Oryzias latipes: one gene and its partners. The protein of the gene in region 1 purifies or fractionates together with the protein of each later gene. This does not show direct contact. Links are inferred from orthologs where the notes say so. Each region holds a gene or a part of one and is shown in the gene's direction. Other genes may lie near its edges. The genes, in order: seh1l, nup85, nup107 and nup98.

What was found.
Region 2: the proteins of seh1l (region 1) and nup85 purify together in Homo sapiens (affinity purification with western blotting; 4 studies listed by BioGRID and IntAct, with this or other methods). This does not show direct contact. The link is inferred for Oryzias latipes from reciprocal best matches to the Homo sapiens genes SEH1L and NUP85.
Region 3: the proteins of seh1l (region 1) and nup107 purify together in Homo sapiens (affinity purification with mass spectrometry; 5 studies listed by BioGRID and IntAct, with this or other methods). This does not show direct contact. The link is inferred for Oryzias latipes from reciprocal best matches to the Homo sapiens genes SEH1L and NUP107.
Region 4: the proteins of seh1l (region 1) and nup98 fractionate together in Homo sapiens (co-fractionation; 3 studies listed by BioGRID and IntAct, with this or other methods). This does not show direct contact. The link is inferred for Oryzias latipes from reciprocal best matches to the Homo sapiens genes SEH1L and NUP98.

Annotation. Positions count from the first base shown.
Region 1 is NC_019874.2:7,222,911-7,229,407, forward strand, and holds the start of seh1l (nucleoporin SEH1), read left to right. Parts: upstream 1-2,539; 5' UTR 2,540-2,653; coding exon 2,654-2,764; intron 2,765-2,877; coding exon 2,878-2,928; intron 2,929-3,011; coding exon 3,012-3,158; intron 3,159-3,245; coding exon 3,246-3,457; intron 3,458-3,688; coding exon 3,689-3,787; intron 3,788-3,855; coding exon 3,856-3,996; intron 3,997-4,103; coding exon 4,104-4,258; intron 4,259-6,497. UniProt on the Homo sapiens protein: Component of the Nup107-160 subcomplex of the nuclear pore complex (NPC). The Nup107-160 subcomplex is required for the assembly of a functional NPC.
Region 2 is NC_019866.2:13,013,492-13,018,949, reverse strand, and holds the end of nup85 (nuclear pore complex protein Nup85), read left to right. Parts: intron 1-28; coding exon 29-151; intron 152-502; coding exon 503-634; intron 635-706; coding exon 707-813; intron 814-893; coding exon 894-977; intron 978-1,059; coding exon 1,060-1,125; intron 1,126-1,219; coding exon 1,220-1,371; intron 1,372-1,483; coding exon 1,484-1,601; intron 1,602-2,552; coding exon 2,553-2,653; intron 2,654-2,779; coding exon 2,780-2,931; intron 2,932-3,563; coding exon 3,564-3,665; intron 3,666-3,870; coding exon 3,871-3,969; 3' UTR 3,970-4,055; downstream 4,056-5,458. Other genes in the region: ADP-ribosylation factor-binding protein GGA3, read right to left, coding at 5,037-5,147, 5,224-5,334, 5,408-5,458. UniProt on the Homo sapiens protein: Essential component of the nuclear pore complex (NPC) that seems to be required for NPC assembly and maintenance. As part of the NPC Nup107-160 subcomplex plays a role in RNA export and in tethering NUP96/Nup98 and NUP153 to the nucleus.
Region 3 is NC_019881.2:22,222,252-22,228,072, reverse strand, and holds part of nup107 (nuclear pore complex protein Nup107), read left to right. Parts: intron 1-215; coding exon 216-306; intron 307-939; coding exon 940-1,019; intron 1,020-1,098; coding exon 1,099-1,158; intron 1,159-1,226; coding exon 1,227-1,372; intron 1,373-2,532; coding exon 2,533-2,581; intron 2,582-2,658; coding exon 2,659-2,728; intron 2,729-2,801; coding exon 2,802-2,917; intron 2,918-2,988; coding exon 2,989-3,285; intron 3,286-4,098; coding exon 4,099-4,201; intron 4,202-4,271; coding exon 4,272-4,432; intron 4,433-4,507; coding exon 4,508-4,633; intron 4,634-5,780; coding exon 5,781-5,821. UniProt on the Homo sapiens protein: Plays a role in the nuclear pore complex (NPC) assembly and/or maintenance. Required for the assembly of peripheral proteins into the NPC. May anchor NUP62 to the NPC. Involved in nephrogenesis.
Region 4 is NC_019872.2:23,867,457-23,873,060, reverse strand, and holds part of nup98 (nuclear pore complex protein Nup98-Nup96), read left to right. Parts: intron 1-147; coding exon 148-280; intron 281-352; coding exon 353-585; intron 586-662; coding exon 663-844; intron 845-1,584; coding exon 1,585-1,838; intron 1,839-1,913; coding exon 1,914-2,189; intron 2,190-3,101; coding exon 3,102-3,259; intron 3,260-3,329; coding exon 3,330-3,470; intron 3,471-3,538; coding exon 3,539-3,690; intron 3,691-3,751; coding exon 3,752-3,973; intron 3,974-4,066; coding exon 4,067-4,308; intron 4,309-5,604. UniProt on the Homo sapiens protein: Plays a role in the nuclear pore complex (NPC) assembly and/or maintenance. NUP98 and NUP96 are involved in the bidirectional transport across the NPC. May anchor NUP153 and TPR to the NPC.

The DNA of each region.
Region 1 (6,497 bases):
AACTTCATGTCCTCTGTTAAGACATCCAAATATCTCCTCTTTGGTCGTCCTCTTGCCCTCCGGCCAGGCAGCTCCATCTCCAACATCCTTCTACCAATATATCCACTATCCCTCCTCTGAACATGTCCAAACCATCTCAGTCTGGCTTCTCTGACTTTGTCGCTAACACAGGCAACATGAGCCGTCCCTCTGATGTACTCGTTCCTTATCCTGTCTAACCTGGTCACTCCTAAGGAGAACCTCAACATCTTCATCTCTGCTACCTCCATCTCAGCCTCTTGTCTCTGTCTCACTGCTACCGTCTCTAACCCATAGAGCAGAGCTGGTCTCACCACTGTCTTGTACACCTTTCCTTTGAGTCTTGCTGGCACTTTTCTGTCACACAACACTCCTGACACTTTCCTCCAACCGCTCCAACCTGCCTGCACTCGCCTCCTCACCTCTTTTCCACACTCCCCATCACACTGAACTGTTGACCCCAAGTACTTAAACTCCTGCACCTTCTTCACCTCAGTCCCCTGTAACCTAACGCTTCTACCTTGATCCCTCTCGTTCAGACACATGTATTCTGTCTTACTACGACTGACCTTCATACCTCTTCTTTCCAGAGCAAACCTCCACCTCTCTAGCTGTTCCTCCACCTGCTCTCTACTCTCACTGCAAATTACAATGTCATCCGCAAACATCATTGTCCAGGGAGATTCCTGTCTTACCTCGTCTGTCAGCCTGTCCATCAGCATAGCAAACAAAAAAGGACTCAAAGCTGATCCTTGGTGTAGTCCCACCTCCACCTTGAACTCCTCTGTCTGACCTACAGCACATCTCACCACCGTCATACTTCTCTCATACATGTCCTGAACTACTCTGACATACTTCTCTGCCACTCCAGACGACCTCATACAGTACCACAGCTCCTCCCTCGGCACCCTGTCATACGCCTTCTCTAAATCTACGAACACACAATGCAGCTCCTTCTGACCTTCTCTGTACTTTTCCATCAACATTCTCAAAGCAAAAATGGCATCAGTGGTGCTCTTACGGGGCATGAAACCATACTGCTGCTCACAGATCTCCACCTTCTTCCTAAGCCTGGCTTCCACTACTCTTTCCCACAGCTTCATTGTGTGGCTCATCAACTTTATTCCTCTATAGTTGCTGCAGTTCTGCATGTCACCCTTGTTCTTAAAGATCGGGACCAGAACGCTTCTCCTCCATTCCTCAGGCATCTTCTCACTCTCTAGAATCCTATTGAACAACCTTGTTAGAAATTCCACTGCTGTCTCTCCTAGGCACTTCCATACCTCCACAGGTACGTCATCAGGACCAACGGCCTTTCCGCTCTTCATCCTTTTCAGAGCCTTCCTAACCTCATCCTTTCCAATCTCTGCTACTTCCTGCTCCACAACAACCACATCTTCCTCCCTTCTTTCCCTGTCATTTTCCTCGTTCATCAGCTCCTCAAAATACTCCTTCCATCTTTTCTGTACACTCTCTTGGGTTGTTAGCACCTTTCCATCTCTGTCCTTAATCACCCTTATCTGTTGCACGTCCTTCCCATCTCTGTCTCTCTGTCTGGCTAGCCTGTACAAGTCCTTCTCTCCTTCCTTTGTGTCTAACCTGTCATATAGCTCATCGTAAGATTTCTGTTTGGCCTTTGCCACCTCTCTCTTCACTCTACGCTGCGCTTCCTTGTACTCCTGTCTACCTTCCTCAGTCCTTTCTACATCCCACTTCCTTTTAGCCAACCTCTTCCTCTGGACGCATTCCTGTACTTCCTCATTCCACCACCAAGTCTCTTTACCGTCTTTCCTCTTTCCAGATGACACACCTAGCACCTTCCTACCTGTTTCCCTGATAATCTCTGCTGTAGTTTCCCAGTCCTCTGGAAGCTCATCCTGACCACCCAGGACCTGCCTCAACTTCTGCCTAAATTCCTCACAAGTTCCTAAATTCCTTTAAGACGTTTTGTTCCTGAAAGTATTTGGAGGAAAGCCTGGAGTGTGACCCACAAACTTATGATAAGTAATAAAATGAAAGAAGTTTCTCTTAAAATAATTCACAGAATTTACCCCACCAATCAATTCATGATAAGATACATTAAAACAATTGATCCTAATTGTCCTTATTGCAAAGAAACAATTAACCGCTTTTTTGGAATTTTACTGAGATTAGAAGTTTACAATTTATTGAAAAACAAATCCACCCCAACTTTACTCTGAAGTATGAATATATCATATTTGGTTTTCATAATAAAAACTTGGCCTCTAATAAAAAACTCATAATTAATCTTATTATTATTTTTGGCAAATTTTATATTCATAAACGTAAATTTCCTTCATCTTCTATTTTTTCCCCTTGTTAATCAAACAAATTGAAATGTATATCAGTAACATCTCCAAAAGTCTTAATCAGAAAGCTGTATGTTTATATGAAAGTTGTAGAAACCTGAATGTTTTTATGTAAAATGCATGTAATATGAATGCTCCCCTGGCATACCTGAAGTTTATTTTGTAAAATTGTGTTTTGTATTGTACTTCCGTTTTGTACAATAAAGTTAAACAAAAAAAGCAGGTCTCAAAGCTGGATGATTTCTGCGGTAGGCCTGCTAACGCGCTGGTGAAGCTATCGCTGGCGGCGCGCTGCTACCGGGATCATGTTTGTGGCTCGTAGTATCGCGGCGGATCACAAAGATCTAATTCACGATGTGTCGTACGACTTTCACGGCCGGAGAATGGCGACTTGCTCCAGTGACCAGAGTGTGAAGGTAAGCTAACGTTAGCCTCTGAGCTCGCGCCCGCGGTCCTCGACTGTGATGAACCGTTCCCGGGCTGCCGCGCGGCCATGTGTCACATTCAGAGCTCTGTTTGTTTTTCTGAGGTTTGGGACAAAAGCGAGAGTGGAGAGTGGCTCTGCACAGCCAGCTGGAAGGTAAAACGCCTCCATCCTCACGCCGAACTCCACCTTCTGTGCTGAACAGATGTGAGCCTCCTCCTCCTGGTTTCTCTCTGCAGACACACAGCGGCTCAGTGTGGAGAGTGACCTGGGCTCATCCAGAGTTCGGGCAGGTTTTGGCCTCCTGCTCCTTTGACCGAACCGCTGCGGTTTGGGAGGAGATTGTAGGAGAATCCAACGACAAGCAGAGAGGCTTGAGCCACTGGGTCAGTGCTGGGTTGGGAGCGGGCAGTTGCAGCGACAACCTGCAGCAGGTGGAGGTCATGTGAGTGTTTCTTGCTTCTCCATTCCAGATTAAGAGGACCACACTTGTGGACAGTAGGACATCAGTGACCGATGTGAAGTTTGCTCCTAAACACATGGGTCTGATGCTGACCACCTGCTCTGCGGACGGCGTGGTGAGGATCTACGAAGCTCCGGATGTGATGAACCTGAGCCAGTGGTCGCTGCAACACGAGATCTCATGCAAGCTCAGCTGCAGCTGCATTTCATGGAACCCCTCCAGGTTATATAGCTTTTTCATATTCTGGATGAGCTGACCAGACCATAAGTTTGATGGAGGTTCAGTTCTGCTCCATGTGTCTGTGAAGCTGGGCACAGAGTGTCATTCTAAGTTTCCACATGGCATTACACACAAACGAAGAGCACGTCTGCGCCACTGCCTGATGACAGGTCGGAGTGAAGGCAGGAGCGGCGGATTTCTGCTGAATCATCTCATCTCATCATTCTCTCCCAGCTCACGGGCTCACCCTTCCATGTTTGCCGTGGGCAGTGATGACAGCAACATCGCGAGCGGTGGGAAGGTTCAGATCTATGAGTACAACGAAAACACACGGTGAGCGTGTTCAGCACACAGCGGCCAGAGATGCAGCGGCCTCCTGACACTTCCTGTTTCTTCTAAAGGAAATACGGCAAAGTGGAGACTCTGATGACTGTCACCGACGCAGTCCACGACATCGCGTTCGCTCCCAACCTGGGGAGATCTTTCCATGTTCTCGCTATTGCAACAAAAGATGTCAGAATATTCAAGCTTGCCCCCATGAGGTGATTGTCATCATCATGTGTTCTGGTGCATTTCTCGAAGCACACAGCTTTTGAAATAAAAGGAGGAAGAAAATGAACAGAAAATGTGTCTTGGTTCTCTGGAACAGGAAGGAGAGCTCATCCACCGGACCCAGCAAGTTTGAGGTGCAGATTGTTGCGCAGTTCGACAATCACAACTCCCAGGTGTGGCGTGTGAGCTGGAACATCACAAGCACCCTGCTGGCTTCCTCTGGGGACGATGGCTGCGTGCGGTTATGGAAGGGTAAGAAGCTGGTCCACCTTCAGCAGGAACACAGACGGCTGCCGTCTGTCGGCAATCGTCTGCAGTGCAGCGACCGTTTTCTTATTTTCCTGAGATGGGTACATGATTAATAGAAACATGGCCTCCTCTGGAGGTTCAGTGTTGGACCTCTAATGCTGCGCTCACAAATTTGCGTTGGCCGCTTCAACTGGAACAAATGTCGGATTCGCTGCTGGCTACCTGTCCAAAAATAGGTTCATAATTGTGACGCATGTGGGAGGAGCTAATGTTTATTTGCCTCATGCGTCTTCTACATGAAAGCATTGACTGTATTTGTCGTTTACAATACATGGACGACACAGAAGTTGAGAGATCAAGTCAGTTTATTTTGAAGAGCTCTACTCTCGCTACCTGATGTGTCAACGCATGTGCGCAAAATACATAAAAGCATTTTACGGTCAGAGTATGTCTTTAAATATTAAATGATGATAAGCTCTTAAATGTTTCACAAAATGTACTGCATGTTAACATTTATTTTAATGTTAATGGGGGTAAAACATGGTAGGAAAAAGAAATGTACAGTAAACCCTTGTTTTTCGCGGGGGTTACGTTCCAAAAAGAACCCGTGATAGGCAAAATCTGTGAAGTAGAAACCTTTAATTTTTTTACAATTATTATATAATTAAATAGTCTATTATACATTGAAAAGAAATAACAAACCATTTTACAGGCTCAAGCATTTGTTTCACAAATAAAAGTACTTTAGAAACGTTTTTTTTTCAACAAATAACTTCTGTACTGTACTGTCAAATAATAATTTTAATCATCGATGTGAACAGAAGGCTTCAAATTGCGGAGATTAGCCCCACCCCCATGACCCAAGTAATTGGATTAAACGGGAGAAAATTTTAAAATGATTATGAATAAAATACAAAGTACAGTCGGACAAATAGTGACTCAGGTGTATTTCACTGCTCTGCAGACTGAGCCGCTGCATCCTGACTCCGCTCTGCAGTGTTTTCTTCTTTTGAAGCCCGCGGTGCAGCTGTGTTTGTTTGGGGGAAAGAACATAGTGATAGGAAGATGTTGTTTCTCTTTTTTCTATGGGTTTTAGAGAAACTCGAAATTGCAAGAGAATTTGCACGTACATAATGTAAATTTGGCAAGCTGTTTTATGTACGTGTACATATTAAACTGCAACGTCATTGACGCACAGTTAGAGAAGAAGCAGAGTGACTTTTTAGCCAATCAGAATGCAGAACACAATGAACCATGCAAATCTGTGAAGTAGCGAAACCGTGAAAAGTAAACCGTGTTATAGCGAGGGATCACTGTAACGGATCAGTACTGCCCACGCTGAAGTAAACATGGATTTCACCGCTCCTCGACTCGACTTGAATTGTTTGGGGTTGGGAAGTGTATGTACAGCTTCTCAACGCAGCCAGTAGATTGGCAGCTCAGTCGTTACCACCGCATACAGAGTGAAGCTCCAGTTAGGTCACTACACAATATTGTTCAAACCCCTACTTCCCTCCCCGTCTTCTTCTACGCCTCACAGCTACGCATTAGGCGCACCGCCTCATAGTGCGCCCCTATAGTTTGGAGAAAATGTGAGACTTTTAAGTCCACTTTATGGTCGTGAAAGTACGGTAAAAAAAATGTCGTCCTGGACAGCATTTTGAATCGATACAAATATCGCCAAATGAAATATCGCGACGTATCGCTAAATAAATTTTCCGTCAACCCCTAGTAATCACATCTCCATGTCTGGGTTTATCGGATCATTCAGAGACTCCTCCAGTACGTAGAGCTTCACCGTCTACTGCAGGAGCTGCGTCTGAATGCCTGCTGCTTTCAGCGGTTCTTCCACCTCTCTGTGACCCAGTTTGACCACTTGCTGTCCAGCATTAATCAAACTAGAGGACATTTCTGTTATTGTCTTAAAAGTAAAAAGAAAAATATAAAGTTCAGGAGGAGACCGATGAGATTCTCCTCCATGTTGGTTTTAGGCTCCACTTGCTGACATTAACACGTCATGTGCCAAAGCTGAGCCCCTGATTGGTTGACATGGCGTGAATTCTTCGCTTTAGATTTTTGATGCCTCATCACACCCAAATTTATGCTGCCGCCAGATCGATGTAACATTCCAGATGCTCATGTGGCACTGTAGGACCTCAGATCAGGACTGTATATTGGCATTGAACTGGATGCCCTTCATGTGTGAATCGTGTTTGAGGTGAATGCAGCTTTTGGTGTATTG
Region 2 (5,458 bases), on another chromosome or scaffold:
ATTTTCATCCTCACATGTATGTCTTCAGCCTGGTGGCACACAGACACTGACAGAGTTTGACGTTAAGTGGAGGCACTGGCATGAAGAGGTAGACCGCTGCTTGCAGGACAACTCTTTTGCTAGCAACCAACATCTGGAGGTCATCTGCAAGGTCAGTCCATCCGTTACTACTTTTTATGCTATCGTGTATTTTCAAAATGCTAACATTGTTGGTACTAATGTAGGCTTTTCCTAAAAATACGCCCGTTTCTGTTAACAGTTTTAATCACTTCAATTCTTGCTAAATCCCAATGGGCTGATATGATGCATGCTCAAATTATGAAGCTATCGCCGCCATGCTTCACTGTAGGCAATTTCTGGGATATTAAATGTGTGTTTTAATTTCTAATCTGGCACCAAAATACATTTTAGTCATTTAGCAGCACCAGATTAATAAATTGGTGCAAATGTTTCAACTATATGATATAAAATGTTTCAATAATTTCTGTTCTTTATTTTTTAGATCCTCCTGGGTGATGAAGACACTTTACTGGAGCACAAAGACCTCCTGGGAACCTGGTATCACTTCCTTGTCTCAAGACTGCTGTTCTGTCATCCCACTGTAAAGCCCACTGAGTTGCACTACTATGCACAGGTGAACTATTCTACAAAACTTGCACTCATGTCTGCTGCATCCAGATATTAAGTGTACCTGTGTGTTTTGCAGTCGTGTATGACCATGTTTCTGGACTCAAGGAGCGCACCAGAACCTCTGGACAGCATCTTGCTGGCTGCCTTTGAGTTTGACATCCATCAAGTTATTAAGGACTGCAGGTGCAACAATGGGACTGATGCATGCAAGTACACTTATTTTAAATCTACTTTAAACATTCAATTTCTTCCTTTTGCCTCAGCATCGCTCTCAACAACTGGTGGTTTGTGGCTCATCTGACAGACCTGCTGGATCACTGCAAACTCCTCCAGTCTCACAATCTACAGTAAGAACCCTGTGTGCAGATTTAGTTTTTTAGTCTGGAGGTTAGGACTTCTTTTATTCAGTGTTTTTCTGTGTTTTTGCAGCTTTGGTTCCAATTTAAGAGAATTCCTCCTGTTGGAATATGCCTCTGGCCTCTTCACTCATCACAGGTTGGTTTGTTTTTTAAGTCCTCCTTTTAATTATTTGAATTTTTCTGTGAAGGTTTTCCCTTAAAGGATGTCTTTTTGTTTGTCTGTTGATCAGTCTGTGGCAGTTGGCTGTGGATTACTTCGATCACTGCCTCGAGTTTGGTCGTGTCTACCTTGAGCTCCAGATTGAGCGCGTTCCCTTAGACACGGAGCGGAAAGCACTGAAGGTCCTCCGCATTTGTGAACAGAGGCAGATGTCGGAGCAAGGTTCTAAAAGACTCTTTATTCTGTAATCACCTTGGTTCCAGAAATACCATTCAAGTTGAACTTTCTTTCGTTGAGTTTGGCATTTGAAATGTGTTTTTTGTTTGTGATCCAGTACGGAGTATCTGTAAAATCATGGCCATGAGGGCCTTAAGAAACAACAGACTTGGCTCCGCCCTTTCCTGGAGCATCAGAGCCAAAGATGCAGCGTTTGCCACCCTCATCTCTGAAAGGTTGGCTTCTCTTTACAATCTGCACCTTTGTCTTTGATCATTGTTCTGTACATTTAACTTTTAGCTTCACCAGACGTCCAGAAATGGACGTTTTTCTGAGCCGCAGAGTTATTCAAGTTTTCCCTCCTTTTTTCTCAGCTTTTAGATGTAAATCAGTTAAATCACAAATGGTTCTCAAAGCTCTGTTTAATTTGTTGTATTTTTGTCAACCTTTATTGTGTATTCTAAACCTAAAAAGACATCACTGTTTGGTAGGGGTGTAACGGTACACAAAAATCTCAATTCGGTTCGGTTCAGAATTTCATAGGGCTCGGTTTGATATATTTTCTGTTTGTTTTTTTGGTACAAAAAGACAGAAAAAAAATTCTTGCAAAATGCGTTGATTGGTTTTATATAACAATAATAAAATTAATCTATGTAGGTGATCTGCTACATAAAATAATACAACTATTAGCTGTCAGGAACCAAGAACTTTGGATTTTAACACTGGCCTGAAAAAAAAACATTTCTTACCTTTTTTAATTGCGTTAACATATTAGATGCATTATCTGTGGCATATGCTATCTTCATGTAACAATAAAATGTCGAAACGCAGCATTCGACTTATCCAGTTGTCTTTTCCCACACACAAGAGCGTAAGGAGAAATGGGGGGGGGGTCCTTCAGCTCTGGCCTCGCGTCTGCATGATACTGTTGACACGCTCACTGTCAACTCCGTCACCTAATGGCTGTTGAACCTCCTGCAATGAGGTTTCTGAGGCGTAATCGGAAAACCCAGAGGAGATCCTCTACGCCGGAGGCAGAACAAAAAAAAACGTAAAACCGAAACGCTGCAAAAGTGATCCAAACAAAAATTGCCGTACCGAAACGGTTCAGTCCGACTACGTGTACCGTTACACCCCTACTGTTTGGGGAAATAAAACAAATTGACATCTTTCTGTTTTTGTGTCAGATTTTTACAGGATTACTGCGCCAAAGGGACCTTTTCTGATCTGGATTTGATCGACAACTTGGGTCCAGCCATGCTGCTAAGCGACAGGCTGACTTTTCTTGGTACACACTTAAAATACACTTGAATTGTTGTTCCTCCTCCTGCAGAACCTATGAATACTCATTGGGCAACAGCATTTTATTTTTCATTTCTAGGTAATTGTGGATAACGTTTGTCTGCTTGTTTAGGGAAGTACCGCGAGTTTCACAAGCTTTACGGGGAGAAGCGCTTCAAGGAGGCTGCAAAGCTGCTCCTCTCCCTCATGACGGCCAAGATTGCTCCTCGGAGCTTCTGGATGACCTTGCTGACTGATGCGCTGCCTCTGCTGGAGCAGAAAGAGGTCAGCTAACATCAAGTTTCCAGCTTTTGTGGAGCAGTTTTTACACTAAACAAAGAATAAAACCCAACTGAGATTTTCAGCCAAAGTTTTCTTCAAATGTTAAGTTGTATGGAGCCAAATCAGGGCCATTAAGATTTCAAACCCAAATAAAACAACTTGAAAATTCAAGCTAAAATATTGGTGTTAAGCTAAAAAAAAATTAAAGTGTCCGAAACTTTCTGCAATTCTAATAGAAACATAATTATTTTCACCTTCAAATTTTCTGTTTTTAAGTTTCAAAACTCAATTTGAGTTTCAAATCTTTTTTTCCACTTTCAGTTTCGAATCTTTTAGAAGTTTCAAACTGTGTTTTTTTATTCTATCACATATAAAATTCAATATAGGAATTTTCTGTCTGTAAAATCATGAAGTATTTGAATATTTTTGTTTGTAACACACTCTTTTAAATTATCCCATGAGCTTTTGTTTCGTTATTTTGTGAATCAAAAATCATTTCCTAATGACATTGTTGGTATTTAGCAGCCTTAAGCACCAAGCTGTAGATTGTTGCATTTTGATGCAAGAAAAGCTATAAGATATTGACAAAAGCGCCTTTTTAAATGTTTTTATTGGTTTATTTATTTTTTATAAAGGTGATCTTCTCAGCGGACCAAACCTATGAGTTGATGTTCTGTTTAGAGGAGCTCACTTCCTCACTGAACACTCCATCTTCAGACTCGGACAAATCCATGCAGGTACGAATTTCATCCTTTCCAGCCTCTGAAACTTTCATGTAACCTTTCAAAGTAAGAGTTTTTCCCTGTTTGGCTTTGTAAAGCAGCTTTTATTCCCTGTAAAATGTACATCTCTAAATGTTTGAAACTTTGTTTTTGAAGAAATATACTGGATTTGTGAATGGGAAGTTGATTTAAACACTTTATTATATCTATATTCGTTTAGGAGGAAGATGTAGAGTTGACCAAAGTGGAGCTCCTGAGACTCGCGCTATCAAGAAACTTGGCAATGGCCATAGTCAAAGAGGGAACGGTGGAAACATGAAGTACACCCCCTCATTCTTTTCCATGATGTACATAAAATCCAATAACTTTTGTGACTTTTGATAATAAAAAAATTCTCAACCTAAATCAGCTTTTTTATTCATAATGATGTACTTCAAAAGGGGAATATCAAACATCAATACTCTTTTATTTTCAAGCAGCAGACAGATGGCACATTACATTTCCATAATTTACAGTAAACAGACACATCTCACAATATTTACATCAAACACACTTCTGTACATCCGCTCCAACATGACTCGATACCCTTTTGCTCTCACATTTTGATATCCTAAGAAAACGTGTGTTGGACAAATTCTGCTCATGTTACAAGATGCATTCACTGCCAAACTGCACAGTAAAATATTTCAGTCTCAAAATAAAACCTTTCAAACTGCCAAAAAACAGAGCAAACCAAAATTCAGTGATTTAAAAACGCACATGAACATATACCTGAACATATACCAACAATGGGAGGAAAATCAGTGCTTTCATTCCAGGCTAAGGCTCTAACAAATGAAATCACTTTCCCCTCACATTTCATAAAATAAAAATATTTAAAAAAAACAAACAACTGAGTTTAAATGGCTCAATCTGAAGCAGTGAATTCATTGAGCTAGCAACAACAGCTAGTTGAACCCTGGAGAATCTAGAAAGAAATGCATTCTGGTTGAATATTTTCCTGAAACAATATGACACATTATTTGTACTTTTAAGAACTTTCACATGTCTACAGGTATGTAAACATTTTACAGGAAAAAATATTGCAAACATTGGTTCTAAACTTTCAGTCTGACAGTCTTCAAACTCTGCTTTCAGATGCATTCAAGGCTCAGATTTATCTCTGGAAAACCTCTTTTAGAAGTTTCTGGATTTTAGCATTTTTATTTAGTTTTATAACTGCACAAAGGATTCTTTTAACCCCACAGTGCTAATAACACTGAGAAAAAATGAACACATATTAGAAATGTAAAGCTAAAAAATGGACATCTTTTCATCTTTGTCTGGAATGAAGGGAGCCCACAAACACCCTTTCAATGAGTGTGGATTATTCACAGCACCACTCTGCTATAGGTGTCCCCATGTTTCTGGTGGGGGGAAATGGTTCACCTCTCCTACTTCGTAGTACAGACGCTCTCCAAGTGTGAAAGACAGCTTGTAGCGCAGGCGCACCTTTTCCTGTGGGGACAGAAACTCTTGTTTCTATAGGATGAAAGTTTGCCTTTGGTCACGGCTTCCTCTTTGTGTTACCCACCTTTGCTGGGTTGGCCAGCAGCATGATCTGAGTGATGGAGGCGGGAGGCAGGATGGGGTTGAAAGGGGCCAGTTCAGCTCCCGATGGAGGCTGCAGCTTTACCTTCATTGACTAGCAGAAGATTAAAACAGACACAGTGTGAGTTGTTGAAGGTTTCTGAGGCTCTAGTTGATTCTCTCATCACCTTTGGCACAGCAGCTTGCAGGACAACATTGTGAACAGGCATGGGTGCTGT
Region 3 (5,821 bases), on another chromosome or scaffold:
GTCAGGAATTTAACAAGGCTTCGAGGCAGAGATTTTGTCTCGAGGAATTTTTGTAATCGAGTAACTCGAGAAATCGTTTCAGCCCTAAACAGAAGAACCTAGGAAGTCATCTAATGATACAGACACTATGAACTTTATTCAACCTGATCCACAGCTTTTACGCTGGAATAGGGTGATGAGAAATGCTAACAATGTGTGCGTTTGTGTGTGTGTAGGCTCAGAGGTTGTGTAAACGCTGTGGTCAGGCCTGGAGAGCGGCCACGCTGGAAGGCTGGAAGCTCTACCACGACCCCAACATGACTTCAGGTATCCTCACAGGAGTTAAAAATAACCCAGCATACACTAAATATGCCATGTGGTCTTCTCTATTCTTTTGTTTAACAATTCTAGATGTTTTGAGGCTGAAAAACTCCTCACTTCACACTGTTGACACTAATAAACACACTCTGTTGTCTATTAAACTCTCAAAGTTAAAAAAGAAAATAAATCCAGGATTGTAGAAAAGATCTGATCGAAGATTTGGGTAGATTTGACAAATAAAACACAATCTGTACAGGAGACACGGGATGTACAGATTAAAATCACACAGAATTGCAGTTAAAGAATCTGCTACACCGCAAAAGGTGAAACATGATTTAGGCACGGATAAAAGTGAAATTTGATAGAAACATGATTCTATTGATTCGAATGCTGACGGATTTTAAGAATCCTAAACGTTTCCTGTTTTGAAGCAAGTTTGTTTCAAAAAGCCACGCCCACTTTGTCACGTCATCAGGTGGATTTTCAATTTGCTTCCGTTTGTTACTTTATTTGCAGTTTTATGAACTAAATGGCTGTCATCTCATTGAAACAGCAGCTCCGCCGTCGTCTCATGCAGAAAGATTAGCTCCTGTCCTCCTGTGTTTGTTCTGAAGACGACGGTCTGTCTTCTCCCTGCAGGCGGGTCGGAGCTGCAGCCCGTGGAGGGAAACCCACAGAGGGGGGTCTGGAAGGCGTGCTGCTGGAGGCTGGCTGAGGAGGTCGGCATCAGGAAGAAACCGGCTCCTGACGTGACAGGAAAGCAGAGAAGCTTTAAATATGCTGCCGTTTGTGTTTCAGGAGCAGCTGAACCGATATGAGCGAGCCATCTACGCCAGCCTGAGCGGGAACCTCAGACCGGTGCGTGAACCAGTGGGTGGGGTTTGGTCGCTCTGATTCTGAGTCTTTAAGTCTTTGTTTTTTGTCAGCTTCTGGCTGTGTGCGAGTCGTGGGAGGACTGCGTTTGGGCGTACTTCAGAGTGACGGTGGACTCGCTGGTGGAGAAGGACCTGCTGTCGTCGGGCATGGCCCACCAGGAGGTGGAGACGCTCCCGCGGGAATATCTGGAGGCCAAGTATGAATCCTCCAGGGCTGGAACGAGTATCCGGATACTCACGATCTGATCCACTAAAAACAAGTACAAATATTTCTGGCGTCCGAGATGCTGAATTGTAATCTTTATAAATAAAATATAGTAAAATTAACTTCAAAGAATATAGTAATGGCTGTAAACTGCTGAATAACGCTGAACTTTAGGTATATAAACTAAACAAACCAAATGCACTGCTGTCACAGGAAGTAAATGCATCTTCAGTGAAGGTTATTTTTTTCAAAGTAAAAGTATCAAAGTGTTTTTGGAGATTAAAAAAAACAAAAAAAAAACAACAAGACTGAAGTTCGGTTTAGTGAAATAAGTTTAAAAAAATTAAAAAAAAAACATTTTTTTCTTGCTAAATTGCAATGGAAACACTTTTTTTTTAAATTAAAATAGTCATTTGATCAACATTTAAATTCCACTGACGGCCATGGTTGCTGCACAGCGGGCGCCACCAGACGTCCCACAGATCCCCTGGAAAACCACCAACCACCATTTCCCAAAATGACTTCATCCGTAGCCCCTCCCACGTGTAAGGAGCTCGCCGCTCCATGGCCTGAAGAAGACGCCGACGTCTCCTTTGGTAGATGATGATGAGCGCTAGAGCAGAAATGTGAAAGTATCTGCTGTCAATCAAAGGATTGTTCACATCCATGTTTTTGAACGACTTATCGTGTGACTTGGTTTGTGTTTATTCACATAATTATGATTTAATGAAAAAAGTGTTATTGTGAAATTGTGTTTTTCCAACATTTTCAGAATTTTAAAAACACAGCTAATGAAGCTAATGTTTTGTTTGCTGCTGAAGTCAACCAGGAAGTTGACGCAAAACAGTTGAGTGGGAGATTGAATTAAGGGATAAAAAACATTTCTTTCTTTCTAAATCGTTGAACTTTTATTTGTTTTGTTGATTGTGATCTGCCTTTCTAAATACAGGTTTCAATGACGGCGATTAAAATACATATTAGTGCAAAAAACGTACACATTAAAACCATTCAGACCTAATCTATGAAACGGTAAGAATCGTCCCTGTGAACGGTTGACCTTCACATCGCCCAAGTGTCAATCAACAGTCATAGAAGTGAAGCAGGTGAATGTGGTGAAACCCCTCCTGTCATTTACTGTCCTTCTGTCTTCAGCTGGACCATGGAAAAGGTGTTTGAGGAGCTCCAAGCTTCAGAATCAAAGGTCAGACTCTGTTCAAATGACCATTAAGTGAAACCTTGAAGATCATAATCCGTTTTCTCTTTCTTCTGTGGGATTAGAGGGTCCTGGATGAGACTAAAGAACACTACCACGTCATCCAGAAGTTCATCATTCTAGAAGACCTGGACGGTAAGGCCGCCGCCCCTCTGGACCTGATGATGCTACGGATGATGTTAGCTTAGTCTGCTTCTGTCTCCATCAGGTCTTTTGGAGGAGTTTTCCGATTGGCTGACGGCCTCAAAGCCCCTCCCCTTCCACCTGCTGCGTTTCATGACTCACCTGGTGCTGTTTTTCCGCTCTCTGGGTTTGGCTTTGAAGGTAAACTTGTCGGCGTCTTTCTAAGTCGTTTCTAGTGGCGTCGTTGAGATGACCTCACCTGTGTTTGTCAGGAGGAGGTGTGCGTTGACGTGCTGAAGGCGTACGTCTCCCTCCTCATCCGGGACCAGCACAACGACCTGGTGGCGAGCTACGTGGGCCAGCTTCCCGCCGAGCTTGCCACCGCTCAGTACGCCGCTTTCTTAGAGACGGTCACGCAGCCGGAGCTGCGGCCGCAATGCCTGCAGCTCGCCAGGGAGGCGGGGTTGGACGTCTCCGCCATAACCAAGCTGGTGGTGGAAACGGTCCGAGAACACGATGAGACGGAGTTCACGCATCACAGTCAGGCGCTGGAAACTGGAACCACGAAGGTAGAAACGCACAAAAATGAACACAAAATAAAAAATATGTTCTTAGTTTTTTTATTATTTTCAATATTACCAGATTGTTTTAGCAATTCTTCTGTTTTTACTGTGCCTTTGAGGGAAAAATCTCACCCCCAGCACCTTATGCAAGGTAATTATTGACATGTTTAAGGCCCGCCCCCAATAATGACATCACGCTGGGAGAATCCATTTTTTTTTAAAAAGCAGACATTTTTACATTTTCGCAGAATATGGAAAACGTTTGCTCAAACGATCTACACAGAATTCCACTGACATACCGGCACAGCCACAGCTGAAGTTTCTGACCTCGGCGAGAGGCCGCCATCTTGAATTATCCATAAAAATGGCCTTTTCGTACCAGCTAGAAATCTAAACTTCCCATGGAGATTTCTGTATGCGGCCTCACGACTCCAAGCGTCGCTGGGAAGCTACTTGAGGGGAAAATGCACATTTTTAATCAGAATGTTGTGAAGAAGTAATAGGCGAATCGTTCCTATGGAATATGACATTCGATATGATCATATTAGGAATGTGGCTGTGGTTAACAGAAAACCTCAGTGGCCAAGAAAATCCAAAAGTTTAGTTTTTTCAGATTCTTCTAAAAACTACAGAGTTGTGCCGCCCAGAGGCAACCAGAAAATAAGTGTTGCTATGGAGATAAAACCAAAAGAAAAGCCGCCACAAATCCATTCTGGTAAATAACTGATTAGACATCAGAAACTCAAAGGTCATCATTAATCTCTGAGGTTAAAACTGCCCAACATAAAAAGCTCCAAATGTGAATCTGCTCTCTGATAGGAGGACCAAAAGAAGATTGACGTCATCGATTGGCTGCTGTTTGACCCCGCCCACCGCGCTGAGGCCCTTAAGCAGTCCAACGCCATCATGAGGAAGTTTCTGGGTAACTTTATTAAATCTTGACGCCCCGTCACATGGATTCCCGCCTTTTGAGGCCGCTTCCTGCCTTTCAGCTCTGCAGAAACACGATGCAGCCAAAGCCGTGTTCTCCAAGGTCCCAGAAGACTCAATGAGGGAGATTTACTCCCAGTGGACGGGGGTTGGTCAGACCACGCCTTTACCCGCCGAGGGCGAGAACGCCGTCAGGGAGCACCTGTGCATCAGAGCCTACCTGGTCTGTCATGCCTGCAGAAGACCTCTTTGTGTATTTGTGTTAGGCAGACCAACAGGATGTGATTGTTTCTGACAGGAAGCCCACGAGGCCTTCACTGACTGGTTCAGCCACAGCAGCTCTCCACCCCAGAAGCCGGTGCCCGCCCCCGAGGTCAAGTTCACGGAAAGAGTGGCCAATGAGATGAAGGAGAAGGAGTACCAGGTATGCAATAACCGGTACACGTTTCTGTATCAACCTGGAGAATCACAGACTTCATGAAAGGGTTTTCATGGAGGTTCTGAGTCCTGAAACGGTCTGAGGAGACCGTCAATTGAACGAATGCAGAGAAAAACCTCTCATATTTTTGTGAATGTGTTTATGTAGATTCGCTCACAAACTGTTCTGGAGGTGGTTCCCAGTAAAAGGTTCTTTTAGAAGTTTTCCTGAAGATTTTTCCACCCGCTGACGTTTCAGAGGCACCATGGTGTGATGCATTGAAGAGGCAGATTGTTGTCAATTTGCTGATTTTAAGCATAGAGGAAGGTTAACAGGTTGTGTTGTTTAATGTCTGGAGTGTCATGTTATATATTTCTGCTGTTTTGTTGAGAATAAATGAACAAAAACTCTGTAAAGCAGGAAAACACCGACGCAGTTTACAGTGTAACCACTAGGTGGCTCACTATCCAGTCTGCATTCGCTTCTGTGTAAATCTGACTGTTGTTCTCCTAAGGTAAAGTAGGCTACGTTTCACAAACTTTATCATTTAAACGTTAGTAAAAAAGGCAAAAAATCTATACCCACATCAGATATGTATACGTTATGTTGGTTTAATGTCTTAAACTTTTCTTCTAGTGTTTAAAGAACGTGGTATCTTTTTTTAATTGAAAGATTTTTAATGAAAGCTTTAAGAGTTATTTCCGATATTTACTCTTATTTCAACGTTACCCAAAAACTGTTTATTAATAACTGGGTTTTTAAAATAAAAAAATAAACGAACACCTATGCGTGCTCAAAGGTTTGGTTACTAAATAAAGAACTGGACCCCATAAATCAGGTTAATCCTAGGATTATTAGCAGAGGATCAGATTAGGTGGAGCGTTTGATCCGGTTCGGTTGTTCCGCATCGGTTTTCTCTCCTGACCTGATCTGACTTTTGCACAAAGCTGCCCATAAAAGCTGCTGGTTGTGGTTGGGATGGATGTTCTGTCTTAGGTCACTGCAACAACCCCGTCTTTCTCAGCGATGCCTCTGGCTGCTGGGCATCTGTGGAAAAATGATCAGAGCTGGGGTGGATTTCTGTTCCAACCCTGACAAACATTGACTAAAAGTTCTAACCATCCTTTTGTGTGTGTGTGGGGGTGGATGTCAGGACGCCCTGAGCGTCTGGTCCTGTCGCCTAGACAACCTGAC
Region 4 (5,604 bases), on another chromosome or scaffold:
GATTAATGCCAGAATGATGGGTTACCATGACTACGTAGATCATGTTGCCGTTCAAAGGAAAAACTCACCGGTTTTCTAGGAGGAGCAGGGGGATTGTTGCCACGGTGACATGGTGGGTTTGTTCTGAGGGTGGATGTTTGTCTGCAGATCATGAAGGCATCTCTGTTTGCTGAGGATGAAGATGAGGGAGACCTTTTCCAGCATCAGGGTGGGATGAAGGTTTCCGCTGACATCTCATCTCCACGCCTCGCCATGCCAGCATCTCTGAGTCGACCCTCTGGTAAGAGCTACACCCCGCCCTCCCAGGGTTGGTTCTGCTGGCGCCCTGGGTCTGATCCTTTTCTCTCTGCAGTTGGTGGACTCTTCCAGACTCGCTTCTCTACTGGTCAGCTCTCTGAGTCGCTCCGCCCTCCCCCTCGAGCGTCTCCAGTGGGACCGGAACCCCCCCGCTCAGTGCAGTGGAAAGGCCTGGGCCCCTCCTCTTTTATGCTCCCCCCTCGAACGACAGAGCCCCCAATCAGGACGGTCGGAGTGCGCCGCTTGGACGGACCTGTCCCTCTGAAAGAGTCCGTCACTCAGGGGAAGGTGGGTACCTGTACTTCATGGAGGACGCCTAAGAGGAGGTGCTGGGGAGGAGCGTCATCTGTGTCTTCTCTGTACAGGGAGGCCTGCTGATGGACGCGGGGCTATTTGCTGGCCGCTCCTTCAGGGTGGGCTGGGGTCCCGGCTGGACGCTGGCCCACTGCGGCAGCAGACTCAGCTCTCCGACATCTGAACCAGGGGCAAGCAGAGACCTGTGCCTGGCCGACTTCAGCTTCCTGCCAAAGGCTGCCCGGACCAAACCGTAAGGCTGCTTGTCCCTCATCTTTAAGCTGCTGTCGACTCACTGCTGTGCACAAATCCTGATCCTGTTCGACGCTGACGCTAAGCATTATGGGAAACTGTCGAAATGACAAGCAAAAATGCAGAAACTCCTTTATGCAGAATAGATTTAGCTATTTTTCTCGTTTGAACTGAGAAGTCTTCAGCTGTGTTCACCTCGCCCTCAGCATTGCGTGATCAAGCCTCCACCTCCAAAGAAAAGTCTATGTAAGCGCACGTAAATGCGCGTTTCAGCGTTCCAATCTCTTGTGTTCATGCTTAAGACCGTTTTCAGCCTTTACATACAAAACCATCGAACAAACGTTAAAAATATAACCATATATGACCAACCAGGGTTTCAAATTTGGTTGATGTCCTTTTTAATTCACAGAAGAGGAGAAATTAATAATTGTGGTTTGTGGTTGCTCCGAATTCTGATGCCAAGTCTTTCAGATATGTAAGAAAGAAAAAGCCTGGAGCAAGACTGACCAGATTTGCCCACTTTTTGCAACAAGCCTCTTCCAACTGTAGGTGGCAACATGGGCTAGTAATGGGCTACATTTGGGTCACACGCCACGTAGCTTTAACCTGAAAATAACAGCAGGAGAAAACACCAAACTGTGGAAACATTAAATAGTCTTTTCTGGAGGGCGCCGGTTCCCACAGAGCGCTGAAGAGAGCAAAGACATCTTTGTGACTCCAAATCCTGATGTTTGGTTTCAGTTTGACAGAAAGTCCGTACAAGGTGGTTCTTGAGCAGCTGGTGGGTCTAGATCCTCTTCAGGGTAAGACCAGTGAGGACGACGAGGACCAGACCGTGCTGCAACGCCCCCTGGAAATCAGCCTGAAGTACAGCACTGTCAGTGTTCCAGACGGGTCCGACTGTCCTCTAGTGAAGCCACGGCCCGGTGTGGACGCGCTGCACGCTTACGCCGAGTGGATCACAGAGCTGGTGGAGAAAGAAGGCGGCGCAGAGCGTGAGTGACAATGTCACAGCTGTAGAAAGGCTCCGCCTCCTACAATGCTCCATCTGACCCTCTGTCCCCCTGCAGCCCTCCTGGGTCACTGGGCTGAGGTCTGGACTCTGTGTGAGGCCCTGTGGGGCCGCCTGGGCCCTGCAGACGTGGAAGCTGATGCTGAGATGCCCAGCCAGTATGAGCAGCAACTTGCCAGGAGGAGGAGCTTCTCCGCCTGGCTGTCGTCCGGCGCCACCCACAGGGTGGAGGAGGAGGTGTCTGTGGCAGGAAAGGGTTGCCACGCAGACGCCATCTTCAGTTACCTGACAGGAAACCGAATCAGCGAGGCATGTCGACTCGCCCAGAAAGAAGGTGAGTTCAGCAGAACCTGCAGAGCCAGAACCACAGACGAACCGCCGCCAGAAAGAGCACTAAGGAATAGACATCGTCCGATGTGGTTTTTGAGGGTCAATGCTGATTATTATTAGTAGTAGAGCACAGTTTTGTTCGCTTCTTTCTCAGTACGGGGAGGGCAGTCTTTCATTTTTCAACTTATGATTGACAGTGGTAAAAGACATTATGGTCAAAGGCACAGGCCTGGTCCTCATCACTACAGGAGAGTTTTCTGGGTTTCTTTAGACGACCTATGAACCATCTGCACAGCTTCTCCACACCAGAAAACCTTTCCCCTCCGCTGTGTTTGAGGGATCCTTCAAACTAGAAATGCAATGATTACCTTTCCCAACTATAGGGGAAACCTCTATTTTGGTTTTGTGTGGTTTCAATGCAGTTTATCCAAAGCAACAAAAAAAAACTAAAAATAAAGCTTTATTATGCAAGGGAAAAAAAGAAGAAAAACCTCTGTGGTAAAACTAAGCCTGGGGGAATGTAATGGGACGAAAAATAAATCCTTATGTTTAGCAAAACTGTTATACGTAAAAATACTCCCTCCACCACCATTCAGGGCAGGGGTGTAATGTGTTTTGGTTTTAGATCCTGAGCCAAAATAATTGGTTCAAAATCAGCTCGTCTGATTTATAAAAATAAAATAAAAGAAATCCTGATGCCGTCATATGTCAAAATAACAAATATCGGCCTGTCCGATGATTGGTTGAGTCCTAAGGAGGTCTGGATGGTTTTGACTTGGTCAAGTCCAGCTTTGCTTGAACCTGTTGTCGTTATGGTTTTAGACCATAATGAGGAGGCTTCACGCTCCAGACTAACCGTAACCCTTCATAGCTGGACCAGCAGGAGAACACGGGGCTTACGCCTGTTTGTTTGCAGGAGACCACCGTCTGTCCCTGCTGCTTTCTCAGGCCGCCGGCTCTCAGATGTGCCGCGACCTGCTGGGACTGCAGCTCGCCGACTGGAGCCGCACTCATACGGACTGCTACCTGACGGAGGAACGGCTTCGCATCTACGCTCTGCTCGCCGGAAAACCGGTACGCGCTCCGCCTTTGGAAAACCCTGCAGCCCAGACTCTGGTCTTCTGAGCGCAGATTCTCCCTGCAGGTGTGGCAGTCCTCGGACTCTGTGGTGAACGTGTGCTCACAGCTCGACTGGAAGCGCTGCGTGGCTCTCCACCTCTGGTACATGCTGCCCCCCACGGCGTCCGTGGCCGACGCCCTCGCCAAGTACGAAGCTGCCTTCCAGGTGAGTTGCTGCTGACCTGCAACGTTTCCGTTCCTCCCGCAGGTCAACTCACTCTGCTGTTCCTGCAGGGTTCAGCCGAGGGGGGGAAGTACTCCTGCGCCCCCCTCCCCCCCTACTTGGAGGCAAAACATTTTGATGAGGAGGAGGAGGAGGAGGAGGAAGAGTCTAATCGTCCATTGTACGATCTGTGCTTCCACCTGCTGAAGCTCTACAGCGACAGGTAAGCCTCACCTGACTGGAGTCTGAGTCCCATTCACCCTCTAACCCCCCCACCCCCACAGACACTACGGCCTGCAGCAGCTGCTGGAGCCTCTGACCGTTACCTGGCAGCGCCTGGATTTCCGGCTCAGCTGGCACCTGTGGGGCGTCCTGCAGGCGCTGAACTTCAGTCACCTGAGCGCCGCGCGGCAGGGACTCCTCCACGCCAGCTACGCCGCACAGCTGGAGAGCGCCGGCCTCTGGCACATGGCCGTCTACATCCTGCTGCACATCCCCGACCACGCGTAGGTGTCCGACCGCACGTGCACGCAAACTGGAAACGCAGCCGCTGCAGTGGCTTTTGTAGGAAGCTCTGACTAAACGCTCTGCGTCCTCAGTGAGCGCGAGCGCGCCGTCAGGCACGTGCTGAGCCAGCACTGCCCCCTGGAGGAGTCGGACCAGTCCCTGCAGAGGGAACGCTTCCTGACCGAGCAGCTGCTGGTCCCAGAGCCGTGGATCCACCTGGCAAAGGCCACCCGAGCCCATCGGCACTGCGACAGACACCAGCAGGCCCTGCACCTGTACCGGGCCGGCTCCTGGAACCAGTGCCACCGACTGCTGATCCAACACCTGGCCTCAGGTGGGTGAGCTGATGTTTGGAGCGGAGTTCAAATGAAGTGACCCAAATTGGGAGGAATTTCTGCAAACATTTACTGCACAGAACCACAACAACGGTCCAGATTCCACAAAAACTCCTTTACTGATTTTACAATAAAAAAAGATTTACATCCAATATCATTCGTGAACCACTGCCACAGGAAGTGGAACCACAATAGTGCTGCCATCTGCAGGCCACATCTTCCATCATGCTTTTGCTGAAACAGATGCCGAGGGTTCTTAGAACCAACAGGTTCCAGCATCGGTCTTCATCTGCAAAGCTTCCAGCAGGTGGAGACAGATGCTGAGTTTAGCAGCAGTAATGTCGCTGAGGAACCTGATGAAGGAGGGAGAACTCTTGATGGACCTCTGTTAACCTACAGACGTGCAAGCATAGAGTTTAAAGGCTTCTCTGAACACCAGCAGCTCTGACTGAAGCTTCGTTCTGTTCAACACTCAAGTTCCTCTCCTGAACCGTCCAAACGGCTCTCTGCTCTCGCTAGTGGGTCGTAGGGTCACGTTCCCTCTTTGTTCCAGTTTCTGTCTGAGGCTCATCAGTAGAGCCGTGGATCACTTCACGAATCAAGATCAACAATTTGCAGATCGAACCGCGATTCTTACTCTTATTACTGGATGAAAACAAATTAAAATCTATTTAATCACCATCAGTTCTACCTTTCTCTAGAACAGCAGATCAAAATCAACAAAACATAAAAGATGAAAATGAAAAGATTTAGGAAAAATAAGGTGTTGACTTAAAACAATGTCTCACTCAAACTGTCATCTTCCTGGTTAACTTCAGGAGTAAACAAAACCCAAATGTTTCTGTTGCTTTGGATCATTTTACAGCAAATCCTGAAAATGTTCTTGTCAAAGTTCTGCTGATGGATGACGACACAGCAACATCTGAGTGGATGGAAGACATGAGATGAGATCATCTTCTTTAGTGTTTTTAGGATTTTTTTTATATTCCTAAATTCAAATTCATCCCATTTGTTATTCTAATTTTATTCTAATCTGTTTTCTATACATTTCATTTAAGTCTTTTTTTATGTACTAAAAAAACACCCGATAGCTTTATTTTGAAAAAGAGACGCTTTACCAACACTTTACTTTGAAGGGTTATTTACCTCCGGTGGCAGAAACGCTTTCAGTTTACTTCATGTACTAAAAATCCAACAAGAGTCTCCATTTTCAGAGTGGTGACCGCATCGCCTTCAGTATTTTTTTACTACACCCCATTAGATGTATAAAGATCTTGGATGTCGCTAAGACTCCC